Linked DNA regions of Oryzias latipes. The protein of the gene in region 1 purifies or fractionates together with the protein of each later gene. This does not show direct contact. Links are inferred from orthologs where the notes say so. Each region holds a gene or a part of one and is shown on either strand. Other genes may lie near its edges.

Region 1 (4,429 bases):
CTCTCATTTGAAAAAGCTTTATTGGCAGAAAATCAGCATTTTAAGGACAATCAGCGGAAAATGTCTTCCCCCACCCCCACCCCCACCCCCCACTTTATATCAAACAACGCCCGGTTGATAAACACGCGCCTCGCGCGGCCTCGGTCACACGGGCGCCCACGGCCCCTTCAGTCTTCTGAGGAATTAGCCGCAGCATTTCAACTAATTGCTGCTAATTGGCTGTAATAGCCTCGCTGCAGAATGGGGGGGGGGGTTCCCATTTAGTTAAATGTCTTACGAAGTTCTTCAATTAAGGGAGCGCGCGACAGGCTGCGCGTGGCCGCAGAATTCTGCGGTTGTTGCGGCCTAAGTTCTGCCGCGCCGCAGCTGCGGCTGCTGTGCTGTGCGGGGTAAAAACCCGCAGCTGAAGCTGTGCGGTTAGAACGCAGACCGCAGATCTGAGGGTTTGCGGGGGCAGCACCCGCAGCGGCGCGTGTCCACCGGCGGGAACGGATCCCAAACGGTTTCGGGAGTTCTGAGGTCTGAACATTTAAAAAGAAATAATTTTCTTATCCAGACAATTTGTTGGAATAATATTGAAAGGAACATTTGTATTTTTGTCATTCTATAATAGGGAGCTCAAACTAAATTGATGTAAACAGAATAATTTACCTGCCGGGATTAAAACAAAATTCTGAATTAAAATAAAATCAGGTTTCTTTAAAGCTCATGGAGAAAGTGTGGCGCCTTCATCTCTCACGTGAAAATAATACAAATCCTTTCTATTTTGGGAGGTGGAAGCACATTCTGCCTGTAAAATTGGAGCCATCAAGAGCTCCATTCCTGTTCCGCTGCTTCAGCTCAAATGGCTCCTGTGCGTAAAATCTTCCCCATGCCTGGGTTAAACTGTAATGGCTCCTTGAGCATTAAGGCAAGATGCTGCTGAGGGCTACCTGGCGTTGTGCTGCAGGAGAGCAGCTACTTGAACACCACCAACTTCATATGAGAGCCTCTCCTGCTCCAGACTTGATTTCTCCCCCTTTCCTTTTCTAGCAGGTCTCTCACCCGCGAGCGTGCATCCGACATTAGGTGACACGCTGCTGCGCCCAATGATCTCAAAAGGAGGGGAGGAAAAAGTGAGAGGGGGGGGGGTTCATTTACGCATCCACTTAACGCGCGGATGTGTATTTATTTACTTATCAGTATCAGTCATTTTCCTCCCCGCGAGCGCACTTTTGCATGTCTGAGTACGAGCAGGCAGCAACAAACAATCCTGCAATCACGGAGGCCTCTCGTGGCCATTAAAAGTCAGTGGTTCTGCTGAGGAGTGCTCCTCCGACCCTCGAGTCCACACAGGCCTCCTTTCATCAAGAGGCCCTCGTAAACATCACTACAGTTAATAAAGTGCATTGTGGTCACTGCAGCCCCGAGCTGCGGCCGCGGCAGCAACAAGTCAGAAAGTTGGCGCGCGGCTCCGGCCGCGCTCACGCACGCACGCACGCACGCGGCGTATGTTGTTGTCGGTGGGAGGGAGCGCCTGTCTTCTAAGTGAAATTACGCGCAGCCAAAGGAGGTTAGAGCTGTTTGGTATTGTTGCAGAGGCCCCGCCTCTGACGGGAGCCCGAAACCTGGCTGCCAGCTAAAACAAACCCGAGCCAGCGCCGAGCTCCCACTCAATCCAATTAAGGCGGACTTGAGGCGCTCTCCTACGTCTTCATCGAGCAGAGTCGACGTTGAGACAACAGGAACCAGAGGGGCTTTGGCCAAGAAAAAAAAAGGAGAGGAGAGAGAAGGAGAGATTGCCTTGCCTTCTAATTTCTCCCTCTCCAGCCACAGAACAATGTCGATGAGCCCCAAGCAGACGACTCCTTTTTCTGTTTCCGATATCTTGAGTCCCCTTGAGGAGAGCTATAAGAAAGTAAGTATGGACAACAACAACCTGGGGGCGCCTCTCACTTCTTACCGGCAGCCGCAGGTCTCCCAGGCCGCTATGCAGCAGCACCACATGGGCCACAACGGGACCGTGTCGGCGGCTTACCACATGACCGCGGCGGGGGTCTCCCAGCTGTCGCACACCGCCATGGGGGGCTACTGTAACGGCAACCTGGGCAACATGGGCGAGCTGCCCTCCTACCAGGACGGCATGAGGGGCAGCGCCGCGGCCACCGGCTGGTACGGAGCCAACCCGGACCCGCGCTTCTCCACCAGTGAGTATCGAGCGCGCGCGCCAAATCTGGGATTTACGCAGAGATTGGAGCCTCGTTTCAGAGCAACTAAAGCGCGCGAGGGTTTCATGAAATGATGTCAACATCTGGATAAAACATGGAATTAAAACAGGACTTTTTTTTATCTAAAATTTCTAAATCATGATTTTTAAATTAAAGAAAATGACACATTACTGTTGCTCGTTTCGCGTTTGAGTCCAAAACTTTTAAAACATTTTTATTCATCAACAAAGAAATTTAGTTTTTGCTTCTTCCTGCGTAAAATCTGACCGCGCTTCTCATCTTCTCAGTTTCCCGCTTCATGGGCTCGTCGTCGGGCATGAACATGGGCAGCATGGGGAGCCTCGGGTCCCTGGCAGATGTGGGGAAAGGCATGAGCTCCCTGTCCAGCACCCCGAGGCGGAAGCGGCGCGTGCTGTTCTCCCAGGCGCAGGTGTACGAGCTGGAACGGCGCTTCAAGCAGCAGAAGTACCTGTCTGCGCCGGAGAGGGAACACCTGGCAAGCATGATCCACCTCACCCCGACCCAGGTGAAAATCTGGTTCCAGAACCACCGCTACAAGATGAAGAGGCAGGCGAAGGACAAGGCGTCGCAGCAGCACCTGCAGCAGGACGGCGGCTCCTGCCAGCAGCAGCAGCAGCAGCAGCAGTCCCCGCGGAGGGTGGCCGTGCCGGTGCTGGTGAAGGACGGGAAGCCGTGCCAGGGCAGCGGCCACACGCCCACGTCCTCCGCGCAGACGCACCACCAGCAAGGAGGCAACGTCATGATCATGTCCAGCGGCGCGTCCGGCCTCGGGCACCAGAGCCAGCAGGTGGGAAGCACGGGTCACTCCCCGGACTTGGCGTCGTCCAGTCCGCCGTCCATGCAGAGCCAGGTGGCCGGCCTCTCCCACCTCAACTCCCCCGGCGCGGAGTACGGCTCGGCCCTGCAGTGTTCCGCGCTGCTGTACGGCAGGACGTGGTGACAGGAGGCGCCGGCTGCGACCCCCGAACACGCAAAGTTTTTCTCTTTTTAAAGATTATTGTAAAAATGTCAACAGAAAAGCCGCCATTTTTCAAAGACCACGCGTGGAAAAAGTTTTCCCAGAAACTGCGGATGTGAAAATGTTGGGAATTATTTATGTAAATTATATTCAGAGAAAAAGAGGAAAAAGCCGGGCGCATGAACACGAGTGGACTGCTGCACCCCCCTCCCCACGGACACGAACCCACGACACGACTCTGATTTATCCTAGAAATTCATGTAAGAGTAGAGTAGCGTGTATATTTCTGTCCGAGGTTTGGATTTTAGATCTTTGTTGTACAGATGTTTTGGAGGTTTTTGCTCGTTTGTTGTCGTTTCTGGTATTTGTACGTTTTTTTCTTTGTAACTTAAAAAGAAATTTGAAAAATAGTCCTATAAATAAATTATGGAAAAAACAGGTAAAGTTTCTGACACATGTTAATGAGGGCGCTTTAAATCATGAAGCGATACACAAATATTTATCCTCATTACTTAAAAAGTATTTTTACGTCATAAATCCAGCCGTCGGCGGATCAAAGCGGCTCTTATTGTGAAAGTGCCTCTTATCTGCGCGTTTTCACTCCGTGACAGATCGCCCCGCTTATCGCGGAGGCCGCGGCGCGCAAACATTTGCGCCCCGCAGGTAAACTCGCCCTTTTTGACTTCCTTTCGCGCGCGCGCGCGTCCTCTCCGCGTGAGTCACTCAGGTGAGGTTTGTCAGCATCAGTCGGAGCACAAAGGCGCCTTATCGGGGAAAATCTGAAAGCAAACAAATTCCTCTCCAGTGACGGCGCAGCTGATCAATAATCAATCCACAAATTTGTGTTGGAACAACAAAAACACACAAACAGTTGCTGCACATTTTCGTATTTTCTGATGCGCCTTTTGAAATTGACCGCAATAAAGACCCGTAATCTCTGTCTTTTCTGCGGGTTATTACCGCGCAGCCTATAATAACCATTAGACTCTATTCTCCCGCGCGGCGCGGCCGTATCTTCGACGGTAAACAACGTGGTTGCTAAGCGACGGAGGAAATAGAAGAATAAATGGTCTGTTTAGGATTCTCGGCTTCATCATTTCTGAGTCTGAAAAACAACGAAGGCAGTTTGACCCGAACGTGATTGAACTGAGCGGGAACGGACGGCATCCGGGAGGAGCCAAAACTCTGCTTTGGATTATTTCTGATTTTTCTGAGCGGCTGGTTCTGACGGAAACGTTCCGGG
Region 2 (4,495 bases), about 1.4 Mb from region 1:
CTTCTTCTCGCACTTGAACCTCTTTTGGCGCCGGAGGTAGCAGCCGTTCTCAAACATGTTCCCCGAGTCCGGGTGCAGGGTCCAGTAGGAGCCCTTCCCTGGCTTGTCCGGGGACCGCGACACCTTCACAAAACAGTCGTTGAAGGACAGCGAGTGACGGATGGAGTTCTGCCAGCGCTGCTGGTTCTGCCGGTAGTACGGGAACAGGTCCATGATCCACTGGTAGATCTCGCTAAGGGTCAGCATCTTACTGGGGGCCTGCTGAATCGCCATGGTGATGAGCGAGATGTAGGAGTAGGGCGGCTTGGCGTGGGGGTAGCTCCGTCTGAAGGTTTTGTTGTCTCGGGCTCGGTTCAGTCCGGCGCCGCTGTACGCCATGCTGGGGCTCATGGCGGGGCTCATGCTGCCATACGGGTTCAGGCCCATGGAGGCCTGCTGGCCCGACACCGAGCTCATGCTGGACGGGCTCAGCGCCCCGCCCATGGAAGCCACGCCCCCTCCCAGACCAGACATGGCCACCGGAGCCGAGCCCGCCATCGCCCCCACGGGCGAATGGGTCAGTCCAGAACCACTGTAGGACATGTTGAAGGAGCCGGGGGTGGTTCCACTGCTGGACATGTAGCCGGACATGGAGCCCATCCCGAGCCCAGAACCCATCCCAGCGCCGCCCATCGGAGAGTATACCTGCAAACAGAACCAGAACCAGTTATCCCCCGCAGGCCCACCTCACATGTGCAGAACCAAGAGCTGCAAGGCCCAGATAAGATACTGAGCAGAACACAGGAAGTTTCATCAGTGGGGTTTGATACCAGCCTGACCCGGTTAATAAAAACCCAAAAGAGATTCCATTCATGATTATCATCATTTTTACACAAGTTTGAGATGAAACGGCGCTTTCTGAGCAGCTCAGAATGTTCTGGATCAGCAGGCTTTATCCGGTTCTGGACCAGATTTTTTTCAAAGGAACCATCATAGTGGTACGCACCTTCCAGAACCACAGACTGAACCCGAGACGTGAAATTTTGAAGAGGATGAAAGCTCTAAACCCATTCCAATGACGAGAACCTCTTTGTTCTGATCCGGTTCTAGTGTGAAGGGACTACGTGAGGTTCGTGGGTCCAACACATCTAATGAGTTTCATGATAAAGTCCGATTCAGCTGCAGCTGGAGGAGAACAGGTTCTGTTCCCACGTGTCTTTTATGGCCCATCAGAACCCCAAGGTCACGTTATTGTTATGTTATTATTACTCATTATAATATATTATTATTATTATATTATATTACAATTTTATTTTAACAGTTTACTAACATTTACTAAATGTACCAAAAATATAGAAATTATTGAATATTTTGATAAACATTAATTTAAATCTAAAACAAAAATAAAAAGCTCCTTGTGTTTATTAAAAAAAATGATGGTGAATATTTTCCCCAGAAATAGATTTATTAGAAAGACGGAGTCGAGGTTCGTCTGCGTGTTCGGACATGTGGATGAGGTTCGGTCCGTTTGCCGCCGCTGCGGGCCTTCCCGCCTTCGGTCTTCACGGAAGCAAAGGACGGAAGAAACGAACTTTGGATGAAATGTTGTGATTTGTAAAAAGAAAAAAAAAATTAAGAGTGGTTCAGACTGAGAGAATATTATTTATTTATTACCGTTAATAATTGTTATTAATAATTAATTCATCATTGAGTAAATTCACAAAAACATTTATTAATGCTGCTCAGATCCATTTAATTTCGGGGGATATTATTTTATTCCTTTTTAAATAAAAAAATGAATGTTTTTATTCATACATATATATCTATATATATCTATCTATATCTATATCTATATCTATATCTATCTATATCTATATCTATATCTATATCTATCTATATCTATATCTATATCTATATCTATCTATATCTATATATCTATATCTATATCTATATCTATCTATCTATCTATCTATCTATCTATCTATCTATCTATCTATCTATCTATCTATCTATATCTATATATATATATATATATATATATATATATATATATATATATTGTAATGTAATAAATAAACAAATATTAACCCGTTTTCCCTAACATTTAGATCAAAATTGTTTAGGTTTAAACTTAAAATCATTTAATTTAATTCAAGCAAACGGCAGTAAAATAACATAAAACAAAATGTTACGAGTAAAAAGAGAAATTAATCCGAACTCCGTGTTGGAAGGATAATTGCGTTTTAAAACCTTTAATCAAATGATTTTTTTTTTTGTAAAGATCGGGCACGCGCGCTTTGGAACCAACAATAACATTTTCAAAATTAGTCATTTTTTAATTTTATTTTATAAACAGATAAAACCTTTAAAATATTTTTTAGAGCGGATTATTGTTATTTTTTAATTTTAAACACCTGCAAAAAATTTGGATCCGAATTTTGAATTTTTAGTTTATTTTTTTTCTTTAAATTTTACTTTTTCTAATAAGCATCTTGTTACTTTTCTTTTTTCTTTCGCCTCGCGACCCGTCCTCAAAGTTCTTTACCGGTAGTTCGGCGCGCGCGGTACCGACCTCCTCGCTGTAGTAGCCGGTCCAGTCCGGAGCCTCGTGCCCTTCCATCTTCACCGCACCCAGCATGACGGGGTCCGCTCCGGGTCAATGGCCCCCTGTCCCGGTTCGGTCCGTTGTCGTGCGTCCGCGCCGCGCCGAGCCCAGCGAGCCGCGCGCACAGAGGCAGAGTGAGGAAGAGGAGGAGGTGACGAAGGTGACCTGCGGGCTGATGTGACGCTCCTCCTCGCGCAGGTCCAGCCCCCGCGCCCCCCCCGCCTCCTGCTTCCCCCCTCCTCTATGATCAGCGTCGGACCAACTGGATGGGTTGGGGGGGGGGGGGCTGTCACGTGGTGGGGGAGTCGAGCCGGAAACTCACCTGCGGGTCACGCGGACAGGTGTATAGTTGTTTGCTCGAGCTCACATCCGGTTAGTCTCACGAAGTGACGGTGGGCGGTCCTGTCAAAGTGGAGATGCCTTCTGTAGGGGCTGGAACTGTGACGGAACCGAAGGTCCAATGCAAACTCAAAGTCTCTAGAACCAGGCGGAAGGTTCTGGTGTCCGGACGGAACTCAGGTCAGGAGAAAGTCTGCAGATTCCTCCTGAAAGAGTTTTTTATCATCATCTGTGAAGTGACCATGGTGGGCGTGGCCTCTGACCGGAAAGAGGCGGGGCCTAAAATGTTCAGAAGAAGAGACAATCATGAAAACAGGAACCGGTTCTGTTCATTGATCTGCCTCAGAAATACGCGATAAATGAGTGAATTTGTTGTCAAGGCAACAGAAAGATGGAGCACAGGTCACAGGAACATTTATCTGTTACAGTTTTAATAGCTGTTCCTGTCGCTCTACGCATGCGCAGCGGTGGATGGGTTCGATTCCTTTTTCGCTCTTTGAGGCCCAGAAGAAGCTAACTACAAAAAAAGAGAAAATGTCATGAAATATTAAAAATAAAAAAGGACGGAATGATTTCAAATGAAAGTAATTAATCATTTTTCTAATTCTTTTGTGTTAAATATTCTTTTTTTTTACCATTAAAACTTTTATTTAATTGAATGAACATTTTCTTGAAAAACGCCACTTATGTCAGAAATTTGTTGACTTTATTGAAAAAATGTTCTTACAAAGTAAAATATTCATTTCAATATTTAACTTTGTAAGAAATTGCCTCGAAGTGTTTTACTAGTTTTTTTTCACTTATTTATTCAATATTTTTTTACAGTTTCTGTGATATAAGCTTTAATGTAAAAGTGCTTACGTTTAGTTTGTGTTAAAGGCACGTTAAAAATATTAATTATGATTAAACTGTCTGCTTTGGTTGGATCTCTGTGGTTCTGATCTCAACAAATGTTCAGAAAAACGTTTGAAGGATTTTAAATAGTTTTAGATTTTTAGGATTTTAGAAAATCAGTCGAAGTGTTCCTCTTTACTTTTCACTATCTCTGTTCTCATGAGAACTTTGTTGTTGTCTTTTAACCTGTTTTTTGTAAAAATGCTTTTGTTAAAAGTTCTGTGTGGTTCTGAGACCCGGTCCAAGAGTTCTGACGGGAAGAACGGGTCTCATTTCCACTGACAGTGTGTGGATGTTCGGCACCAGGTGAAAACTGGACAGGAGCGGTTCTGGTTTCAGTGGTTAGGGTCCAGAACTTGTTCAGGCCCATTCTTCTCCTCGCCTCCTGGACTGCGTCAGACCCGGGTGATGGAGCTGGTTCCGGTTTCGGTGTGACTCAGTACCATAAATCCTGTAGCTGTCAGTCAGGACGGCGCTCCACGGTAATTATGATGTCACTGCAGAGACTGGAGGACTTCGGGACCAGACCTGGACCTGAACCTGGATGTGATGCCCCCCCCCCCCCCCCCCCCCCCCCCCCCGGGGACAGCGAGAGGGTCACAGGGAGGGTAAGGTGTGTTTGGGCTCAGGCTGAAAGACGGCGTGTGTTCTGATCGTGAGTCAGAGCTTTAATTGCAG

What was found.
Region 2: the proteins of nkx2-1 (region 1) and foxa1 purify together in Homo sapiens (affinity purification with western blotting; 3 studies listed by BioGRID and IntAct, with this or other methods). This does not show direct contact. The link is inferred for Oryzias latipes from reciprocal best matches to the Homo sapiens genes NKX2-1 and FOXA1.

Annotation. Positions count from the first base shown.
Region 1 is NC_019880.2:861,000-865,428, forward strand, and holds the start of nkx2-1 (homeobox protein Nkx-2.1), read left to right. Parts: upstream 1-1,595; 5' UTR 1,596-1,819; coding exon 1,820-2,186; intron 2,187-2,494; coding exon 2,495-3,168; 3' UTR 3,169-4,429. UniProt on the Homo sapiens protein: Transcription factor that binds and activates the promoter of thyroid specific genes such as thyroglobulin, thyroperoxidase, and thyrotropin receptor. Crucial in the maintenance of the thyroid differentiation phenotype.
Region 2 is NC_019880.2:2,255,343-2,259,837, forward strand, and holds the start of foxa1 (hepatocyte nuclear factor 3-alpha), read right to left. Parts: upstream 2,975-4,495; 5' UTR 2,618-2,974; coding exon 2,552-2,617; intron 685-2,551; coding exon 1-684. UniProt on the Homo sapiens protein: Transcription factor that is involved in embryonic development, establishment of tissue-specific gene expression and regulation of gene expression in differentiated tissues.